Tribolium castaneum: one gene and its partners. The protein of the gene in region 6 purifies or fractionates together with the protein of the main gene of each other region. This does not show direct contact. Links are inferred from orthologs where the notes say so. Each region holds a gene or a part of one and is shown on either strand. Other genes may lie near its edges.

Evidence for each region.
Region 1: the proteins of Atac2 (region 6) and NC2beta purify together in Drosophila melanogaster (affinity purification with mass spectrometry; 4 studies listed by BioGRID). This does not show direct contact. The link is inferred for Tribolium castaneum from reciprocal best matches to the Drosophila melanogaster genes Atac2 and NC2beta.
Region 2: the proteins of Atac2 (region 6) and wds purify together in Drosophila melanogaster (affinity purification with mass spectrometry; 4 studies listed by BioGRID). This does not show direct contact. The link is inferred for Tribolium castaneum from reciprocal best matches to the Drosophila melanogaster genes Atac2 and wds.
Region 3: the proteins of Atac2 (region 6) and Mocs2B purify together in Drosophila melanogaster (affinity purification with mass spectrometry; 4 studies listed by BioGRID, with this or other methods). This does not show direct contact. The link is inferred for Tribolium castaneum from reciprocal best matches to the Drosophila melanogaster genes Atac2 and Mocs2B.
Region 4: the proteins of Atac2 (region 6) and Sgf29 purify together in Drosophila melanogaster (affinity purification with mass spectrometry; 5 studies listed by BioGRID). This does not show direct contact. The link is inferred for Tribolium castaneum from reciprocal best matches to the Drosophila melanogaster genes Atac2 and Sgf29.
Region 5: the proteins of Atac2 (region 6) and Atac1 purify together in Drosophila melanogaster (affinity purification with mass spectrometry; 4 studies listed by BioGRID). This does not show direct contact. The link is inferred for Tribolium castaneum from reciprocal best matches to the Drosophila melanogaster genes Atac2 and Atac1.

Annotation. Positions count from the first base shown.
Region 1 is NC_087398.1:1,910,307-1,912,671, forward strand, and holds NC2beta (protein Dr1), read right to left. Parts: upstream 1,203-2,365; 5' UTR 1,084-1,202; coding exon 843-1,083; intron 796-842; coding exon 524-795; 3' UTR 501-523; downstream 1-500. UniProt on the Drosophila melanogaster protein: Bifunctional basic transcription factor. Activates transcription of DPE (Downstream Promoter Element) containing promoters while repressing transcription of promoters which contain TATA elements.
Region 2 is NC_087397.1:5,874,508-5,877,951, forward strand, and holds wds (WD repeat-containing protein 5), read right to left. Parts: upstream 2,042-3,444; 5' UTR 1,844-2,041; coding exon 1,724-1,843; intron 1,675-1,723; coding exon 1,578-1,674; intron 1,534-1,577; coding exon 1,140-1,533; intron 1,094-1,139; coding exon 774-1,093; intron 730-773; coding exon 629-729; 3' UTR 501-628; downstream 1-500. Other genes in the region: Droj2 (dnaJ homolog subfamily A member 1), read left to right, coding at 3,293-3,444.
Region 3 is NC_087396.1:21,505,905-21,509,474, reverse strand, and holds Mocs2B (molybdopterin synthase catalytic subunit), read right to left. Parts: upstream 2,418-3,570; coding exon 2,173-2,417; intron 2,122-2,172; coding exon 1,940-2,121; intron 1,890-1,939; coding exon 1,632-1,889; intron 1,200-1,631; coding exon 982-1,199; intron 936-981; coding exon 825-935; 3' UTR 788-824; downstream 1-787. Other genes in the region: JNK1/MAPK8-associated membrane protein, read left to right, coding at 19-231, 281-450, 501-787; Mocs2A (molybdopterin synthase sulfur carrier subunit), read right to left, coding at 2,427-2,684; Wdr92 (dynein axonemal assembly factor 10), read left to right, coding at 3,213-3,496, 3,539-3,570. UniProt on the Drosophila melanogaster protein: Catalytic subunit of the molybdopterin synthase complex, a complex that catalyzes the conversion of precursor Z into molybdopterin.
Region 4 is NC_087396.1:14,033,249-14,037,527, forward strand, and holds Sgf29 (SAGA-associated factor 29), read right to left. Parts: upstream 2,801-4,279; 5' UTR 2,523-2,800; intron 2,474-2,522; 5' UTR 2,371-2,473; coding exon 2,200-2,370; intron 1,745-2,199; coding exon 1,225-1,744; intron 375-1,224; coding exon 190-374; 3' UTR 103-189; downstream 1-102. UniProt on the Drosophila melanogaster protein: Component of both the SAGA and CHAT histone acetyltransferase complexes, which both predominantly acetylate histone H3.
Region 5 is NC_087394.1:37,104,129-37,107,804, reverse strand, and holds Atac1 (ZZ-type zinc finger-containing protein 3), read left to right. Parts: upstream 1-1,186; 5' UTR 1,187-1,371; coding exon 1,372-1,521; intron 1,522-1,568; coding exon 1,569-1,685; intron 1,686-1,788; coding exon 1,789-1,923; intron 1,924-1,972; coding exon 1,973-2,075; intron 2,076-2,122; coding exon 2,123-2,235; intron 2,236-2,281; coding exon 2,282-2,593; intron 2,594-2,645; coding exon 2,646-3,098; 3' UTR 3,099-3,176; downstream 3,177-3,676. Other genes in the region: beg (probable malonyl-CoA-acyl carrier protein transacylase, mitochondrial), read right to left, coding at 1-64, 112-329, 384-990.
Region 6 is NC_087396.1:22,635,646-22,639,796, reverse strand, and holds Atac2 (cysteine-rich protein 2-binding protein), read right to left. Parts: upstream 2,801-4,151; 5' UTR 2,732-2,800; coding exon 2,511-2,731; intron 2,458-2,510; coding exon 2,320-2,457; intron 2,269-2,319; coding exon 2,117-2,268; intron 2,065-2,116; coding exon 1,883-2,064; intron 1,836-1,882; coding exon 1,768-1,835; intron 1,723-1,767; coding exon 1,535-1,722; intron 1,270-1,534; coding exon 976-1,269; exon of another isoform or gene 931-975; coding exon 749-930; exon of another isoform or gene 697-748; coding exon 526-696; 3' UTR 449-525; downstream 1-448. Other genes in the region: MrgBP (MRG/MORF4L-binding protein), read left to right, coding at 1-448; serine/threonine-protein phosphatase 2A regulatory subunit B'' subunit gamma, read right to left, coding at 2,848-4,115.

The DNA of each region.
Region 1 (2,365 bases), on a different chromosome or scaffold from region 6:
TCATTCACATAACCTCAATGTACGGCAGCTTTGCGCCTTTTTGTATCTCTAGTTTGCTTATCAAAAAAACTATTTTTGTATTAAATATAAAAATTGTTCTGCGGTTACGTGCTAAATGGAAATTAAATAACTTTTTTTCTATTAGAAAATGACATTATCTTGGGGATATTTCAATGAAAAAAGTGTTGCCAAGATCAAAACATGGCAAACATGTTACGTTGGCACTTAGTTGGCGCTTAGTTTTAAAGGTTTTTTTTCCATTTATTTAATAATTATTTTTATTACTTAATTATTTACAGGGACTACATTACCAAGACTGTAATAATGAGTGTTTTTCAGCGTTAGGAAATTGGTTATTTTATCCTGTTTAGACTTCGTACGCATAAGATTGCAGATGAATAATTTTCTTGTAAAAAACGTTGGGTCACTATTTATTGAATGTTTGTGGTTGATACAAAGCCTAAATCTAAGATATTAAAAAATAAATGAAAACAATAACAAAATATTTAAAGCGTTTAATAAATCATTCGTAATCATCATCATTGTTTGGTAGAGCCGAAGCTTGGGCTTGTGCCGCAGCTTGTAGTTGCTCCCATTGCTGTTGCTCCACAAAAGCCTGCTCTTGCCTAGCCTTGGCGAACAACTCCTGCTGTTGTCTCAACAACTCCTCTTCTGGTATTCCCAAATTTTCTAACCTTGTGCTCTGTCGCCTGCGTTTCGCTGCAACAGCCTTACAGTCCTTAAGAACAGCTTCAGCTTCGGTTTGATAATCTCCAAAACCCAACTTTTCTAAAGCTGCGAAAAACTTTACTTTTGTGTTGTTTAACAATGATGAAACATACCCATCAAAACGTGTTCCGCATTTATAGTCTTTTTGTCCAATCGATTACATATTTCGTTCGCTTCAGAACTAAGCAAATGGATAAATTCCGTACAACAGTTGAGGATTAATTCCCTTGCTTCATTTGCAACTCGAACTGATGGGACTAACTCCTTTATCATTTTGTTAATGCTAGCCCGAGGCAAAGTCAGCTCATCGTCTTCGGTATTTGTTAAACCACCAGCATTATTTTGATTAGACATTGTAAATTGTTATATTTATCAACAAAAAAGAGATATTTAACCTCAAATAGGGACAGCTGGAACAATTTGACATGTCAAGGATAATGCTGTTAGAGTCCGCGAAATGACAGATCGTCATTTGTGTGAAGACAGCTCCCAAAACCAGCTCCTCGAATTTCCGAAGAGACCCGAACATGAAGCCAGTTTCAGACTAGCAAAATAAGTTTCAGTTTGCTTAGATGTATGTTTGGTTGTCAGCTTTGAAACCGTTTAATAAAATAAAAATCCGAAAAAACACTAAACACCCTCTTAAAAATGACATTTTAAGAAAGTCACTATGCTAATAGCGAAAAACTCAATTATTTACCACAAATTGCTTTTTAATTTTTCCCACTTTTTCACCTAATTTCAATATTTATGGCTCCGCAAATGCATTATTGTAGTTTTCGCCCCATTTCACCCCGAAATCGGTTTTGTCACACAATGCCCTTTTGACCACTAATTCAACAATAAAAAAGACGTTTTTTAAAAATAAAATTATGGCCTTTTAGTTGTCGGAACAATGTTAAAAATTGTTATGTTGCCCAGCTCCGCAAATGCACTGTTGCAGTTTTCGCCCCATTTCACCCCGAAATCGGTTTTGTCACACAATGCCCTTTTGACCACCAATTCAACAATAAAAAAGACGTTTTTTAAAAATAAAATTATGGCCTTTTAGTTGTCGGAACAATGTTAAAAATTGTTATGTTTTCCAGCTCCGCAAATGCACTATTGCAGTTTTCGCCCCATTTCACCCCGAAATCGGTTTTGTCACATAATGCCCTTTTGACCACCAATTCAACAATAAAAAAGACGTTTTTTAAAAATAAAATTATGGCCTTTTAGTTGTCGGAACAATGTTAAAAATTGTTATGTTTTCCAGCTCCGCAAATGCATTATTGCAGTTTTCGCCCCATTTCACCCCGAAATCGGTTTTGTCACATAATGCCCTTTTGACCACCAATTCAACAATAAAAAAGACGTTTTTTAAAAATAAAATTATGGCCTTTTAGTTGTCGGAACAATGTTAAAAATTGTTATGTTTTCCAGCTCCGCAAATGCATTATTGCAGTTTTCGCCCCATTTCACCCCGAAATCGGTTTTGTCACACAATGCCCTTTTGACCACCAATTCAACAATAAAAAAGACGTTTTTTAAAAATAAAATTATGGCCTTTTAGTTGTCGGAACAATGTTAAAAATTGTTATGTTTTCCAGCTCCGCAAATGCACTATTGCAGTTTTCGCCCCATTTCACCCCGAAAT
Region 2 (3,444 bases), on a different chromosome or scaffold from region 6:
AATAATTGTTTCATTAAATTGTATATAAAAACCCGCGTTTTATTTCAGTCTTGTTCCACTGCTTGGTTTTGTGTTATTTAATCCGAATTTGTTTCAGCAGAGCAAAATGGGGGCGCCATTCTCACTTACAACGAAATGTTTGAGCCGTCCCTCTCGAACTTGCTCTTATGGAAATGTAAAGCTTGCAGTAAGGAAGTGACCAATCGGTGGCACCACTTCCACTCGCACACAGCGCAAAGGTCCTTCTGTCCCTACTGTCCAGCCACTTACAGCCGCATTGACACCCTCAGAAGCCACATGAGAACCAAACACAGTTTTCTGATGAAGTGTAACAATTTGTAAATGTTTTACTCTTGCTGTGATGTAAATACGTAACGTACTTAACGCTAGTGTATTGTCTGCTTTGAAATGACATGTGATCAAATGTGATGTTATTTATTTATGAGAATATATGATGAAACTGGAACGCGTATCATTCCCTGCGTAATAAAGGAACTGGGAAAAATTCAAAGGTTTATTAGTTGTGGCTACTCCTACCGCCTAACATTAATCTGAATCAAATTTACATCGTTAGCCACTCATAAAAAAATATAAATTATTTTTCATAGAAAACATTGTAGAAGCTGGATTAAGTATCACTTTTCCATAACTTTATGGTCTTGTCGTGCTCGAGAGCAGCCGAAGCGATTATATTTTCAGTTGGGTGGCAAGTCGTACATAGCACCACATCTGAAAAAATCAATTACACAAAATAAGGACAATGCGTGATTTACCTGTGTGTCCTTGCAATTTTTGTACAATTTCCTTCGTTTGCAAATTCCAAATGTAGACCAAATTATCCTCAGACCCGCTCACAATCCATTTACCCCCGGTAACGGAAAAGTTTGCAAAAATACAGTATTTCTCATTTTTATGCCCTGAGTAAGTTTTCAAGCATTTGCCTTTGGCGTAATCCCAGAGTTTGAGGGTGTTGTCTAAAGTCGCTGCTAGGATGTATTTGCCGTTTGGCGAGAATTTAACGAACGAAACAGGGGGGTTATCATCATCAATTAATGTCTTCAGACACTGCCCGGACGCTGTGTCCCAAATACGACTAAAAATTTATTATTTCTTTTCGGACGAGCGTAGTTTCGACTTACCAAAGTCCGTCGTAACTGCTGCTGACAATGAGAGACCCGTCTCTGTTGAAATGAACCGCACTGACAGGGTCTGAGTGCGCTGGGAGTGTCTTTAGACACTTTCCAGTCCTCACATCCCAAATTCTTACAGATTCGTCAAACGAACCGGACACGATTAAATTCGATTGTGGGTTAAAATTACAACAAAAAACGTAATTGCTGTGCCCCTTTAACGTCTTCAAGCACTTCCCTGATGATAATTCCCAGATTTTAAGAGTTTTATCATCACTTGCTGATACAAGTAATCTGCTATCGCTAGACCACGCCACGTCACTTATCCCTAACTTATGCCCTGATATTGTCTTCTCAAACTTACCGTCGTAAGCGCCCCATATCTTAATTAACTTATCCGCAGCTAAAAACCAAAGTTAGACAAAGTACTAACAATTTGAAACTTACAAGAACTAGCCAACCATTCGCCGTTTGGGCTAAATTTAACGGAGGACACCGCCTTGGTGTGCCCCGCTAGCGTGAATTTAAGCGTGTAGTTAGGTTTCTGCAACACAGTTATTAACCCGCGCCTCTTTCAAGTTCAAATTACGCACTAGGTTACTGCTGGACTTGTTAGAGCCGCCCGTCGGCGTCAAGGAGTTGTTAGTGGCAGGGGCCGGTGGGGCAACGTTTGTCGAAGAATGGACAGGGGCTGTGCCCCCTAAAGGCATCATTTTGTGGCGATTCAGGTGCTCCAAATGCTACTCTTGTGAAGCTGCTAACCTGAATAATTGCAACAAGCCACTGGCACTGAAATTAAACCGCGAAAATCCCGGTAAAGAGCGTTTTTTGCGATTGTTGTCACAAGTTTTAAAGCAATTTCTGCTTTATTCAGCCGCCATCACAAGCGTCAATGCGCCAACGCCGGTTGACAAAAAAAGTCACTAGAAAATGGCGTCAGGTTTGAATAAAAAACAATTCAATGTGGAAATATTTATTTCGTCGCGTTTTTCAAATTCACTTTGCCATACACGTCTAATAATCCACCCTTTGCCTTTTTGCGCTTCCGGTCAAAACCTTTTCCTTTAGCTGTGGATTTGCCAATTGCGTTTTTTCCCAACTGCTGGAACTGAGCCTTTGTTTTTTCTTCTTGCTTAAGTTTCGCCCGTTCTTCCTTTAATAATTTATAGTTTTTGTACTTATTTTTCTTGGGCTTTGCTCCTAGAAATTATATTTTGTAAGGAACATATACAATAATAATAAAGGTTTACCTAATTTGATTGCTAACTGAATTTTTGCTTCTTCCTTCTTTTCCGGGTCAAATCCTGACATTCCAAATTTAACAATTTCGTGTTTCGCTCTCCTTATGTTGAAATCTTCAGATTTCTTATTCTGGGGCTTTTCATTACTAATTTCAATTTTTTCCTGTTTTTTGGGCTTATACGATTCAAAAGACACCGACTTAAAATCAATGGATTGTGTACTTTTCTTGAGAGAACCCTTCGTGGGAATAAAGTCTTCAGAAATCATTTTTTTGTTAATAAATCACATCGTTGTCAAAAGTAAGGTTAGAAAAAAAATGGGGTTAGAAAACGTCAAAAAGTCAAAACCATTAATGTTTTTTATAATTTTTTATTGACTGATTACGAGTAACAGCGAAATTGTTATTGCGTTTCCGTTTTATTAATATTTGTGCGCAGAATTTCCACAAGTCTAAAAATAATCCTGTTTTTATGATAACTTGGCAAATGTTGTTGTTATTCAGAAGAAATCGCTTTATGTCTTCGTCTACTTTAAGAAGAAGTAAAAATAGGCACAATAGTACAACCTTTTAAGTGAAATACGTGACTTAAAATCAAAAATTCTATTAAATGGCGCCGCTTTTCGAATAAATAAGCTCGAGTAGGCCTGCAGAGGGCGTCCTGTCAATTTCTAGAATTCGTCATTCGTTACGTCTTCGACCTTTCTCTTCGTCGAATTTTCCAGAACCTCGTGGCTGGGAGTTTTATCCCTGAACACGCGCTCTAGAACCAGTCTTTGCTTTGTGCTGCGTCAGTGTGCAAACTTAAAAAATCCACGAGTTGTAATCCCCGTTCCAGAAATATTGATTATTTCTGAGGTAACTTGAAGTTTTCCCTTGTTCCCCGAAAATCCTCATCTCCCTTTCTTCCAGGACTACAACCATGGTAAAAGAGACGAAATTCTACGACATCCTGGGCGTTAAGCCCGGCTGTACCCAGGACGACCTGAAGAAAGCCTACCGAAAACTCGCCCTTAAATACCACCCCGACAAGAACCCCAATGAAGGGGAGAAGTTCAAGCAAATCTCGCAAGC
Region 3 (3,570 bases), about 1.1 Mb from region 6:
CTTCACTGTTCGTTGTAGCTTCAAAAAAGACGTCCTAATTTTACACTTGACTGCGCTGGTGGAAGTGGTCATTTCGGGGCTCTTGTCGGTGCTTTTCACGCACCCGTTCGGCGAGTTCCAGGTGCGGAACTGCAGAGTGCGCAGCTTGGCCGATTGGTACACTTTGTTGCATAATCCGGCCCCGGATTATGAGAAGAGGGTGCATTGTACCCAGGAGGCTGTGTATCCCTTGTAGGGCTACTAATTGATTATACTACTTTATTGAGTGTTTTTGTTTTAGGTATACGCTAGTTTTTATTTTTTATGCCCTGACTTTGATTGTTATGCTTTTGATAAGGCCATGGGTTTGCCGGAAATACCTTCCAAGGCAGAGCAAAATGTCGATTTATGCCGCCATGTACTATATACCGATTTTGGTGGTGGTCCATGCCCTAATTGGGGGACTTCTTTGTACGTAATGATTGCGCCAAAAATCACACTTTTGATTGGTTTTGTTCCAGATTATGCGTTCCCAATTTTGGTCGTTATTTTGTCAGTTATTTCGTGTGCTTATCACTTTGCCCTCAAAATCAACCAATCGATTCCCTCACTCATCATAACAACAGTTGTAGACCCGAGAAATGTGGTAATCTTAGTGGGCCATTGGTGTTTACACGCCTATGGTTTAATTTCAATAACTCAGCTTAGTGACCCGACTTTTCACTCATTGTTGCTACTGTTGGTCCCACTGCCGGCTTTTTTTTACATTTTCACGGCCAGGTTTACCGACCCGACAATATTTACGTAATTTATTTTTTAATAATAATAATAAACTAAAAACAGATTTATTTTTTCTCCTCCTGAACCTTCCGCTCCAAATCGCTAATTAGCGAATCGATTTCCTCAACTGAGAAAACCTTCTTCTTCACAAATCTATTGTTTAAGTGGCTTTTGTCCTAAAAATTTCACTAAAAAGGGAGGGAAATCTCTCAAAAAGCTTACCCAAAAATTGATATATTCGGGCGAAATCGTTTCAAGGAACAATATCCGGTCTTCTAGTTTCTTCAAACGGGTGTAGATATTTTTCGGGGTTGGGGTGGTCAAACTGAGTTGGATTTCCAGGTTTTGGAGGCGCTCCTCAATGCCGTTTTGGGGGATGTATTTGGTCAGGTAGTCCGAATTTGTTTGGTCGCGGTGGTAAGTGTTCAAAACCCGACTTACTGCAAAAAAATTAGTCTGAAATACTTGTTTTTCGAAAATCGTCCGAAAAGTAGCACTTTTCCCCGACATTTTTTGCTAAATTTATAGAGGGTTAGTCTGTTAAAAATATATTTCTCGTGTTGACCGTGCAGTTTCTTTGCTCTTTTTTTTCAGTCAATTTTTACTCGGCGCCATGGCCTCCTTGATGTATTATTTTTAACGAAGTTGTCTGCATACATCAAGGAGGTCATGCTCGGCACATTTGTGTCCTGTCCGTAAAGTCTTAATTTTTTCGTTAATTTTTTTATTTTCAGATAAAAATGTGTTCTCTAAACATTAATGAAAAATGTCTGGTGCCAAATAGAATAACCCTGTGCAGTTGTATACTTTTAGCAGACTTGTAAAAATTGGAATAAAAATCGTAAAATTGTGATTTTTTAAGGGCCACGAACCTTGCAAATGGCCATTGGAGTCTTTGCGTTTTTGCAAAACCGCATCGACTCGGGCGCAAGTGAACTCTGAACTTCGATTACTTGTGCAAAACTCTCTCACATTGCTTATGTTGATTTCGTTTCGCTTCATCTCCATAAAATTCTCGATTCGTTTGCTCAAGTCCGCGTTTGAGGCCTTGATTTGAATCAAATGGGGCGAAACGTTGGGAATTTCGACTTTGGGCTCGATTTCGAGCTTGAATTTTTTCGGTTTGGGGGCTATAAATGAGAGCCAATCAATTTTAGACTTTATTTACTTGACCACCCACATTCTTTATTTTCCTTCCACTGTGGAGGAGTTTCAGTTTCAGCGTAAATCTCCTTTTTCCAAATAGGCACACTCTCTTTAACCTTGTTGATGCACCAGTCGGTGGCTTGCAGCGCCTCGGTACGGTGGGGGGACGCGATTGCAATTACAATGCTAGCCTCCTTGACCCCCACAACCCCCAGTCTGTTAAACAAAAAAAAATCAAAATTTGGCCCCAATTTAAATTTTTCAAACCTGTGATAGATTGCGATATTTTCGACTTGAGGCCACTTGGCCCTGATCTCCCCGCACACTTTTTCGAGACACTTCAAAGCCATGGCTTCGTACGCCTCGTACTCCAATTTAAGGACGGTTTTTTCCCCGAAACTGTCTCTGGTGGTCCCCATAAAAACCGAGACTGCGCCACATTTCGGCGAGGCGACTAGATCAGTCAACGCCTCAACACTTAGCTTGTCTTCGGTGAATTTCAAAAAATTCATTTTGGGGCCCTAACCGCCACTCAGAGGTGGGATTATTGCTACTTCGTCGCCCTGTTTTAACACAATTTCGACACTTTCCACGTCGCAAAACTCCTCATTGAGGGAGAGAATAATGTTTTGGGCAATTTCGGCCAAAAAATACGTGCCGACGAGTGTTTCTAAAAGCTTTTTGTAGGAGATGGGGGACGGCAGGTCAAGTTCGGCGGATTTTTGGCCCACGATTTCTCTCGATTTAGCGAAAAACAACACTTTGACGGTCACTAACATATCATAGTGTTGTTGCGCTTACATAATCACCGAATTGAAGCAAAATAATTACTTTTATCACTACTCTGTTTATATTTGAAACGACATATTTAGAGCGCAAGTTGTCAAATTTTTAACCTCACTTTCTTACGAATAAAATGCAATTAAAAATCTTTTTTTCGAATGCTTTGGAAGCTGTTTCCTTTTTTCCTGACAAGAATGCTCTAAACCTAATTTGCTGGACAAATTAGTTAATAATTTGACTAATTAGAGCAATCCTTAAATGTATTGCTAATTGTTTTTTTACAGCCGTAAAAAAAGGTCCCAATGGCTGTTTGTCCGAACATGATTTTTTACAGTCGAAGGCCCTAACGAAGGGCTTAATTTCCTGCAAAAATAAAGAACATTGCAGGATATAACGGGGGTGAAAAAAAAAAACAAAATAATTAAAAACGTAACGAGAACAGCTTGTTTTATTTAAACTTGGGCAATTATTGCCCCCGAAAATGCGCTTTGCTATGACAACAATTGTTTGATCAATCAAACGTTATGGAGTCGCTCCAAAGGCCCCAAATAATCTGCCACGTGCAGCAAGCCCTGAACTACACCGTCCACGACGTCAAGTGGATCCCCTGTTCCGCGAAATTCGTCTCAATCGGGGGCAAATCAAACGGGGCTGGAATTATCGAGACCTACTCAATCAGTGGTGATGGGATCGAAAAAGTGGCCGAATTCGGCAAGAAAGACCACTTTAAATGCGGCACGTTTCACGCCTCGAGTTTAAGAGACCGCCACCTTGCGACTGGCGACTTCAGCGGGCGGTTACAAGTCTGGTAAGTCGTCCAAAAGTTGGCCAAAATTTTTAAGTCTCGTAGGGATTTGGAGGAGAATTTAATCCCGATTTATA
Region 4 (4,279 bases), about 8.6 Mb from region 6:
AGTTCCATTTTTTTAAAAGTTAGATTAGAAAATAACAAAAATGTAAAAAAAATTCATGTACATGTAAAGATGAATAATAAATTGGTGAAATATAACACAAAATGAAAGTTTCTCGAATGTTTACTACCCAATAAATTATTCCATAAAACTTGAAGCTTCAGAATCAGACATAGTGTCTGAAAGATAATGTCAGGCTTGCTTTGTCTTCTGTTTTATGGCAATGACGTAGCGTTGGGCCACATACAGGGGCGGGCTGTAGCCTTCAGGATACGCAGCGTCTTCAAACAAAATCTCATATTCATCAGTATGTGTTGCGGGAGGCTTGTTCACAATGCCTTTATAGAAGCAACTCGTAGTTGGGTATAGAGCCATAACTGAAACGCAAAACCAACATTTTAATTTACGTGGTGTCCGGTTATAACGAACTCAGAAAATGTGTCAAAATCCGTTCGTTATATCCGAGGTCATTAGAAGAGATAAATTAACAAAGAGTGTCTTTTTAGCTGTTATTTTTGCTTTATATCATTTGTCAAATAAGACGAAATAAGAAAGAATTGTAAAAAAACATTAATCCTTTGCGAAAAAGTAATAATTTGATAGTTGTGCAAATATTTTAAGGAATGTGAGTAGAGCTCAAAAGAACTCAACTTGCATTATCCGAATATTTGTGGTTTCTGAATTTTCGTCGGCGATGGCGAATAAATTTAAATTTGGCGAGCAATTTTAAACTTTACTAATAAAAATTTTAAACAAATATGATCTCTGAGGAATCTACTACACTGAGTAAAAATTATTAGCAAAAACAGACACAAAAAAACCACGAGACATCCCATAAAATAATTATAAAAATGTAAAAAATTTACATAGATTTTTTTTGTGCTAACATACCACCGAATGTTTCAACACGTTTGTGACATTCATCGGGCAATAATTCCAGAAATACTAGCCGAAACCCTAATAAGTGTATAATCGTTGGATAGCTCTTAATAATCTGTTTCTTTTTACAAAAAAGACCATTGTTCTGCGATTAACAGTTTTAAAAAAAATCGCAAACAGTGTAAAAAATATATCTTAAAAATTATTAAGAATCTGGTCATTTTCTTGACGCCAAGCGATTTCCCAGAGCATTTTACAAAGACAACTTTAAAATAGTTTCAATTTTCCGAAGAGTTTTGCCATAATCGGTGCTTGAAACAGGAGGAAGTTCGTTGTAACTCCACTTACCGACAGTTCCTTGTGGAAACAAGGCCGTTGGATCAGTCTCGGGATTAGCCCGCATTAGGGGTAACGGTACCACATTTCTCTTGCTCAAAGTATGTCGCCGTTTCTGATTCTGCTCCGCCAAAATATCATCAACTTCGTACTTATTTGAGGCGTGATTATAACTGTACACTTCAGCCAATATCCAGTTTTCGCCATCTCCATCAGGAATTTTAACCAAAGCAGCCACCATATCGCCCACTTTTGCCACATAGCCAGAGTCAGCAGGTGTGGCACCACAGAGAGCAGGAGGTTTTTCGTCTATTTTACCGACGAAAAGGGGCAATGTTTGTGCCGAACTCATTAACATCTTCATCCAAGTGCCCCTACGAATCGATTCTTTGTTTCCAGCATGTCTCGTTTGAATTCTCCGTTCGTTCTTAATGTTGCGGATTTCCGCAATTTTTTGAAGAGCTTGACGGAGCAAATCCTCCTCTTGCTCGGCGTGCGAAATTGAGGACTTGTAGAGGCTCTTTAGCTTCATCTACAATATATAATCATTACAGTAATCATATAAACTCTTATTGAATCGAAACAATGGAATTCTTTAAATTCACGTAAACAAAAATATTTACTTGAAACACAATTGAGCTTTAAAAGGTGGTTCAAAGGCGATTTTTTTTAATTTAGCGTTTCCAGGGCACCGTAAGCCGCCAAAGATCAGAAAAATGTCATCAAAGATCTTAAAAGCCATTGTAATTATTTACGTTTTAACAATTTTAACTGTAAGTTGCAGTGAAATCAGTACTTTTATTTGTAGCATAATTATTAGGTAACGATTGCCGCTGAGAACAAGACCGAGGTAAAGGGACCAAATGTCGTTGACACAAAGAAGAAAACAAATCACACTGATACACACATAAAAATGTTGGCCCCAAATTACTGTTATTTTTTCGGAAAATGCCTCAAAATATTTTGCGAATGCCAGAAAATCCACACCTGATAATGTTGGCTGGACTTCTCGTCTTGCCCATTTTGAAACTTAACAATGTTGTTTATTCCTTGTTCACTCTGTTGGCGTTTCTTCTCAATCTCATGAACCGTGTGATAGAGCGACTTCAAGTGCTCCTGAACTTTTTGCGCTGCGATTGCGTCTGCACTAAAGGGCATTTTAATAGTGCAATTAAAATTCACCGCAGAAATATGGGTTCCTGAAGTGCCTGTCTACAAGCACAACGTGGTACCAGCAAAGCAACACTAAAGTGACGAGTACCTGAAACGCCCAAAATAGAGCAAAAGTATACACTTTAGTAATCACTGACTATTCTACACACGGTTCTAGTGGAAATGTTTATTTCAATTAAATCAAAAAACATTGATTTGACTGTTTGATGCACTGCCAGGGAAAAGGGCACAAGTCGCACTGCGGGGGTAACTTTTATGTATTGTACTTTACAATAAACTACTAATTATGGAAATGGTAATTTTTTATCAAAATAACATGCACGTAATTTAAAATACACTTATTTTTGTTTGCCTGTGCTTGACGTTAGCCGTGCAAATAGACTACTTTTTGAAACACACGACCTAATACATATATTCAATTAAACCTACAAAAAATTCACTAATTAGTAATAATTGTGGAATAAAATGCTTGATAATGTTTTTAACATTGCAACGATAATATCACTAAGTTTCCCTTTTTTTCTATATAAGATAATGTTGTGTTAGGATTACTTATCTCTGTGTTGTCACATTGGAACTACGACGGCCTTGAGGCGCTATTTAAAAAATTGCAACTATTTTTTATTTATTTAATTAAATACGTGTTTGTAAACTTGCTACGAGGTTGTGATTGTGAATTTAATTAGTACTTGCGTCTTTAGATTAAAATGAAAAAAATTATTTGCTTATTAATTATGTAACTAACTAATGATATAGAGGTTTTTAATTTAAATATTTCAGGAAAATTCTGGTTTCAAAACGATTTGGGTCTATCTGAAAATTTATTTCATTAAAAAATATCGTGTTATTTAAATTTAGCGCCGCGCTTGTGCAGAGCGTGATGTTTGTAGACGTTTTAGGAATTGACAGGTAGCACAGAACAGAAAGGGTTAAGAAGTGATAATTCCCTAGTAAATCACTGGCAACACGAGAATCCAGCGCCTCTGGTGCTGAAGTGCGTTACTACCACGGTAAAGTGCCACGTTTGAATAAATTCCTTTTATATTGTTTTTTATTATTTTTATCTTACAAGTTTCATTGCAAATTGTTTAAAATAAAAAAATATATTTTCATTTTAAACAAAATGAAAACGTTTTATATTTATTTTAAACAAAATTTGAAATGAAACTTACAAAAAAAGTTGTTTTGGGGTAATAAAACACAGATTTTGTTAACATTTTTATTGTACACTTGAGTAACATAACAAATTAAATTTTTCAAAAAATTAAAGTATTGTATTATTTCTTAATTATACAAAAATTATAAAAAAATTAAATCAGTCAGTGTTGGCATGTTTTGCCTGTCTGCTCGAGACTTAAAACAAAATAAGGTCTGCTTTGCAATGACTTTTACCTTGTCTGTCAGCAAACAGTTGCCCACGCTACGACCACGAGGAGGTACATGCAGTGCACTGACACACTCGAGCGCAAATAAGAAACTTAAAAGTAAATTCTGAAATACCCTAAATAGCGAAAACGCCAAAATTTTGAACTTACAGGATCCTCAATTTTGCAGGCATTCCTCCACAATTCTTGAAGCTTTGGATTCTTAGGGAAGGTGAAGAAATGCTTATTGGACTGTCCTTTGTTGGGAACATAATCACTGGTGCATCCGGGGTATTTGCAGGAATATTTGCGATAACCAGCCATGACTAAAGTTCAGTTGAGTAGTAGAAATCAAAAATCCGTCACTCCAGACCAATGCCTTTAAAATAGAAAGAAACACCAATCAAAAAGATGAGGTTATATTAATAAAATAAGAGATACTTATCTTTTTGGTCGGCGCTCAACACCAGGAATTGACTCACTAACGAACTGTAATCAGAATTTTTGCTTTGATTAAACGATTAAACAAA
Region 5 (3,676 bases), on a different chromosome or scaffold from region 6:
CCGCAAGTCTTTTAACTTTACGTAAATTTAATTCTTTGGCATTTTTTTCCAAATAATCAAGCGCCTACAATTAACTGCATAACAACTACAAAAATGAAGAAAAAAAATTACAGATTCGCTCCCCGAGATGACTTTACAATGGGGGTACAAATAATTGGCAATTTGACATTCGGGCATTAAGTCGCCTTTATCAGTTGCCCATTCCTTGGCTTTGACTAGTGCCTGGTTTAACTTCGTGTCAGGACCGTACATTACTGTGACCATCCCCCCCTTGTACGCCTCACTAGCCAATTGCATTGCTTCCCCCCGAATTTGCACCAATCGTAACCCTTAAAAAATTCCAAATAAAATTCAATTTTTTGCCAACTGGTTGTAAAATAAACCTCGCTCAAAACCAATCGCCCCCGCAAACACTAACGCTGTAATTTCCCCCAAACTGAACCCTGCTGTCCCCACACAACTCTCAATAGCCCTAGGTCTCTCCTCTTTCAGTCGTTCAATTGCCGCTAAAGAACTGACCATTATTGCCGGTTGACTATATTTTGTTTGGTCCAATTTGTCTTTGGGACCCTCAAGACACAATTTTAACAAATCGTACTTTAAAATATAATTCGCTAACTCAAACAAATCCCTAGCCATGGGGTACTTGAGCAAGTCATTGCACATACCGACAAATTGGCTCCCCTGACCGGGAAATAAAATTATCGAGGACTCGCGTGGATCATATTTAGGTTTTTCGATAAATGAGACACCCTGTTTGCGAATTTTGGTGCCTTGAGGGTATGGCAAAGTAGCCCATTGTTGTTCTTGTGTCTGGGGGTGCAAGTCTTCAAAGGTTGCTGATTCGTCGAGGAGTTTCTTTAGGGGAGATTCTTGCGTTTTTTTCTCATCACAGTTACGATTTGAGGACAGGGAGAAGGGGCGAAGCCCTACCAAAACACGATCGCAGTCTTTCAGAAAATTTCGTGTAATAATTTTAGTAAACATCATGGTATAATTAAACTGTTAATCAAGCAAAACACACAAAACTAATTCAAATAAAAACACATTTTAATGATTCAACTTAACCTCGAATGTCAAGTTGCGACCATATGACCGATTGTTCGCCCAATCTAAACTTTAATCCAAGACGCCAAATTTATCACCACTGATGCAAACTACTCTACTTGAGCTAGCTTTAAGGAAAATTAACGAAAATGAAGATCGGACGGAACCACTTTCGTAAATTTGGTCTTGTTTAAGGTTGTCAAAAGTAAGGTTACAGGTCAGCTGTCAATTTCACGTGTGTAGTGTTTATTTCTTGTATTTTTTTGTAAATTAAGTTATACGAGAGTGAATTGTGTAATATCTAGTCAATTTTTTACAAACAAAATGACAAATACGCAAGAATCGGACATAAATCCTGAAGAAGATTTGTACTATTTCGAAACGGATCACTTGGCTTTGAGAGGAAATAAGGACTATAGTGAGGTTCTTAAAAACTTGCTCATTCTGTGTGCTCAGAGAAAACAAGCAATAAAGGTAAAGTTGTGTGAATTTAGTTACGTTTCGATTAAAAAAGTCTTCAGGACTATAACAAAGCAGTAGAATTGAAGAAAGAAGCACTGGCAGACCCGGCCAAAGTCTTGGAGAAAATTATAAAAGGGGAGTCTTTGGGAATGCCAGATATGCACCGCATGCCTGAAGTAATTACAATTTTTTTGAGATTTTTTTCACCTAATTACATTAGAGAACAAAATATAATTTTTAATAAAGCAAGGAATATTTTGTTCATTTGGTGCATTTTAGTTGCCGGTTATTGACTGGTCAAAGTACGATATTAAAATCCCGGAGGAAAGTTTCAAATTGATTTATTCAGACGGTTCTGAGACTGTTAAGAAAAAACCCGAAACGCCGAAAAAAGAAACGAAAATTTCACATGGGGTAACACATTTTGTAAAATCGGTTCAAATAAAATTGCTTGATTCTATAGAAATGGACAACAGAAGAGCAGAAACGTTTAGAAGAATTGCTCCAAATTTATCCGCCTGAACCGGTTGAAATGAGACGGTTTAAAAAAATCGCTGATGCTTTAGGTAATTAATTAGGCGAAAAATATTAAAACTTGGTTAAATTTTCTTAGGTAATCGAACAATTCAGCAAGTCACGAGCCGAATTCAGAAATATTTTGTGAAATTGTACAAAGCTGGATTGCCAATTCCTGGCCGAATTCCAAAATCTGCCGAAAAACACAAAGTGAATTTACATTATTTTAAGGCACCAAAAAATTATTTTTTTGTAGAGAACGTCATTACATAAGCACCAGCGTCACAATCATTATTTATGGAAACCTACAACTTTTTTCCCCGATTTATGTGTTCCTGTAGTAATGAATGACTTGGATAATGTTCCTGGACCTAGTTCGAAAATTACAGATGAGATACAGCCTTCTACAAGTTCCAATTATCTCATACCTTCGGTTTATCACCAGGAGAGTGAGATTTTGCCCCAAAAAAGTGACAGTGAGTTACAGCTGGAACTTTTAAAACGGATACGAAAAGTTAAAATTAGGGAGAATGAGAGTGGGTCTAATTTCCAACACGTGGGATTTAAAGTAAAAAATAATAATAATTTAGCCAATTTTTTGGTGATTTATTTTCTTATAGTGTGATTATTGCAACGATGAACCAATAATTGGCACCAGATGGCATTGTAACACTTGCAAAAATGACTCAATTGATTTTTGTACAGACTGTGTTTTAACACAAATTTATTCCGATAATAGCCACCCTTTAAACCACAATTTAATCGCATGTGGTGATAGAGAAATTGAAAGTGATTCAGAGTCAAATAGTGGCAGTTTGGATCAAAATAACGAATCAAGTGATGAAGAAATGAGCGATATTTCGGATAATGTCAAGGACCAAGTGATGGCAAACGGAATGGACGAAAGCGAGAAAATTGATAATAAAAATCAAAGTGAAGAAATGCCAAAGTTGGAGTTTGGTAATTATGGTAATGACGAGTTTGTGGACGGACTTGGGTCCGATTTGTTCAGCGAAATTGAAAATCTTTCATACGATTATTTGCACTCGAATTTGTTGCTTGATAAGGATTGAACGTTTTGTTGTTGAAGATTTTATTTATTTATTGCCTTTGTTTGTATGTAAATTTGTGATTGCAATGAAAAGTTTTTTTATATGTTAGCTTTTCGTTTAACCCTTCAGAGCTCTCCTGAAAATCGACGTGATAACGTAACAAAAATCAATGAATAAAACTTTGTTTACAGCTTTGCAAAAATTAGTTACCTTTTTGTTGATCATTTATCTTAATTCTTACATAACTTTTTTAATATTATTCAGTGCGTGTTGTGAATTTTTGCGTGCTTTTAATACGCATTTATTGAAAGTGTTTTTTTTGGTCAAATATTTCGAATTTTCAGAGTTTACTCATAATTTTTTGTAAATAATGCATTCTAGACCTGATTAAGTGATTTCCTCCGTTGTTTTTACAAATTTCCTAAAATTTATTGATTTTTTTAGACTTAATTCTACAATTTTTTACCTATAGTTTAAGCAAAATCTTTCCAGTTTTTTTTTAAATTCCATTGAAAAACAGTTTTAAACAAAATTCTACAAGTTGAATTTAATTTATTCACTGCAACTAATTTATTTAACGTATCACTGACAACTTGACT
Region 6 (4,151 bases):
GTCGATTCCGTTCCCGAATAGTGAGAAAGAGTTCACACTTCCCGATTCCGACTTCGGTTCCCTCATTGTGAAGAAGGAAGAGGACAAGAAATTGGCGCAGAAAGGGCGCGAAACGCCCAAGTCGCTCAAGGAATTGCGAAAAGATGAAAAGACTCCTGTGAGGAGCAGTAAGGAGGTGCCAAGGCGTGATAGTAAAGACAGTAAGGACAAAACCCCAGTGAGTGCGAAAAAAGAAATCAAGAAAGAGGCTGAAAAGAGTAAAAGTAAAGGTAAGAGTAATAGTAGTACACCAAGGGAGGAAAACAAGGCAAAAGCGAAAAGTGACGACACACCAAAACTGACGAAGCGCCCTACTAGAGGCAGCTCTAAACCTGACGATTCCAGTTCGAGTGGTAAATCTAGTCCAATCACAGTCACACCACCAGTGACAAAAAGGCGACGCATTTAGTTTCTTTCTCACTTTATTAAAATTAATAAAAAGTGCCTCAATAAATTACGTAAAACACGATGCAACTCGGAGCAACATCACCTCTCAAGGCGGCAGAAAAACGCATGTTTCGATTCGCTTGTCTCGCGTAAATACTTATCATAAAAATTCAAAACGACTGCTTCCACCTTAAAACCGAACTTTTGGTACAAAAACAAGGCCGGGTTGTTGATGGACACGTGTAGTGTGATATCTTTGCCGAGACTTGTCTGAAATAATTAATTAACCAACTAGTTTAATAAAAATCGACTTTTCAATTACTTGGATTAAGTGATACAACATGAACTTTCCAATCCCGACGTTTCGCCATCCTGGCCGTGTAAAAATAAAAGAGACGTAATTTTCGGTGTATTTAACATTGGGGACGAGGAACGCAAACGCCACTATTAATTTTTTGTACAAAACTACGCAACTAAAATCCGGATATTGCAAACTTTCAGTTACTGCAACAAAAAATTAAATTGTGTTGTAACATTTCGGACACTTACGATCGATTCCTGGCCAAAAAAAGTTGTTGCAGAGACTGTTAATGGCAGGTATGTGCTCAGGTTGGACGTAGGTGTAGTCAATAGGGGCCCTTGGAGGTAGAACGTAATTTTGTGTTTTTTCGTTTGCTTTCATTTGTATCTCGGCCATTAGGCGTAGCCAGGATGGATAAGTTTCTGTATCTCTTCGTATGTAAGGTTTTAAATAAATGCTGCTGTAAGGTGAGAGAATTAGTTCTTTTCTGATACCACCCATCAACCTGACTCTCATTTCGCTTCCTTTCTGCCTAAACGCGTCTAAAATTATTTTTGGAGTAAATTCTTAAGCCCTGGGACTATGGGGGACCAAAATATTTGGTGGCATGACGAAAAATCGAGCAAATTTTAAGCGCAAAATAACCTTTTGGAATTGGTACTTGGGCAGATTTTTTTATTCAATTATGACCTTTCTTAACTTAACTTAATTTCTCAACTTTTTCAATAAATCAGAATCTTTACAATATTTACAAAAATCTCGTCTTGCCTCCTAGCTTTAGTCCTGCACACCTCTCACTTGACTTACTGCTAAAGCAAGTGTTGTAGTGACAAAACGGGTCGAGCAATTTCACAGACTCCTTATTTTGCTCACTTGGGGGCTTATTACGTGGCTGAGCTTCGCCCAAATTTCGCTCGTTTTGTTTGAGATAAGTTGGCGTTAATTCATCACCTAAGTTTGAAAAAACCGGCGAGTTTTTATTCATTTTTAAGAGTCTAGAATTGCATTGTTATGTTGTGACTTTGAACAGAAAAACTTACTTTTTGGACGTGCTCTCAAATGTTGGTAAAAGACTTTTTCTTTTATTTACGGTAAAGTTTTTAGTAATCTACAAACAATGGATGATTTGTAAGTTCAAAACGTAACAAATTGTACCTTTTTATTGGTTTCATCGTCTGGATTTTTTTCCGAAAAGTTGGGAACATCGACAGTGAATAAAGGCGTTAGCAAATCATCGTCTTTGATGTTTTTGTGTAAAATTTGTGTGAATAATTCAGTGTCTGAGACTGATATTTTTAAAATTTTCGTTTTTTGCTTCTCGTTCGTGAGAGCAGCATCTGGAATTATACTTTCACTCCTGATTTTTTAATTATTATTTCACTCAATTACATAAATTTGAAATTACGTTAGGGGTGAGTTTGGGGTAGGTGAGGGCCCACCAAGCCGGTTCATTAACGACCGAAGTCCCCGACTTGAAAAAATACGTACTGAAGTGCGATAAAGTCCCAGCAACGGTCCCAACCCATTTTTTTTTCTTTTTACTACAAAAACCAACAATTACAAATATGTGATAATCAAATGTTGGAACTTACAAATCCTTCAAAAACAGACTCTCCCAGTTTTTGTCGATTAGTGACGCTATGTGGTTCCTCCAATGGAAGTACCCCTTGCGCCCCAAACCCGGACTTCGTGACTGCAAATGATACAAAGCCAAAACTAATACTTTTAACCTAAAAGAACTCGTCCACGGAACGCCCTAAATACCTACTACATTTCTAATTACCAAGACATTTTCTCCCTAACAAACGACTCGGACCCGGCCTCCGAACATTCCTCACAAGTGAATGTGAAAAAAATATCGCCGTGAAGCCCCCCAGGCACACAACCACTTTTGAGACACCGCAAATGAACACTTTGCGAACATGAACTGCACGTTAGGCCTTCGTCGAGACAATCTTCCAATTTATTTGTGCAATATTTACAGATTTTGCAAGTTTCGCTCATTTTTGGATTGTAAACACAACCTCACTTCGAGATTATTGTCACGTGATTGACGTCCATAATGGCGGGTTTTTGAAAAAAATGGACGAAAATTATGTAAAATTGCATTTATTGTAACATCAGTCTTGGGAGGGCTCCGCCGTGACGGCCTCTCGATTCTCGTAGGCCCAAAAGCGGTGAAACTCGATTAAAATACTGACAAAAGTGTCCCCTTGCCCACAGGCGATTAAATCATTCAGGGTGATTTTTTCCGGATCTTTAGGCCTGACCATGTCAAACAGTTCGTCTTTAACGTCCTCAAAGGACACAGCTTCGGCCCCATGGGCCCTCATCTGCTCCTGAATCGCTCGGAAAAAATAATTTAAAGTGAAAGAGTCCAAGTAGCCTTGATTATTTATGTCTAAGATGCGGAACAAAAAAGCAAGAGCTTGTGGTTCGGCACGATTTTCCAAAGCTAGTACTAGATCTAGATAAGTTTTGTAGTCCATTTCACCGGAATAAGTCAAAAGCGTTTGAAAAACGCGGTCTAGAAAGGGCTGCGTTAAAGTCCCAGAGCCATAACCCGCAAGTTCAGATTTATTCAACATTCCGTTGTGATCACGGTCAAGATTTAGATAATGTCCGTAAATACGTAACGTTGAAGGGGCACTAAACCAATTTTGTTCCTGCACCTCTTTACTCAACTCCTCGTCCCTCAATTCGAGTAAATCATCAAGGAACGAACAAGCTAAAATGTCTAAAATCCGCACACGACCCGCACGCACTCCATCGAGGAAAAACAGAAATTTCCGAACGGCCGTACACACGTAAAAACTATAAAACGACTTTTCCAGTCCCTCAAGTTGCGGCAAAGTTGGCAACAACTCAGTGATATAATTCTCCAAGTCGATTTCAGTCAAGTAACCCTGTCCCGTACTATCATACAGCGATAACCCGATCCTGGTCTGCTGTAGCCACACTTTACGCATCACGTAGTTAAAAAGCGACATGATCGAGACTCTGCCCTGGGGGTCACCCTGTTGGAGCTTCGCAAACACGACCGAAGTGAAGTAGGGCTTGACTTTGGGCCCCACCAGCGTGACCACCTTCTGATAATCGGAGTACGTTATCAACTGTTCCTCGGGGTAGCTCTGGTTCTGGTCCAAAATCACCCACAGTTCCTTCAATTCGTTGTTATCCAACAAGTTTTGACTTTTACGTTTCAGTAAATTGGAGCGGCTCTCCTCGCGCAGTTTTTGCCTTAGGGGCTCATCTTCTTTCGGTAATTTATTGTAAAAACGCGGAATGCCCGTGGTTTCGTTCGGTGGTTTGTCACAATATTGCTTCATGTAGTGTTGGAAGTACTCGTCTTCTTGTTGCTCCAACTCGGGGGGCGACTTTTTCGCACCTGGCAAAATTACCAGTCGAAATTTTAACTAAATGA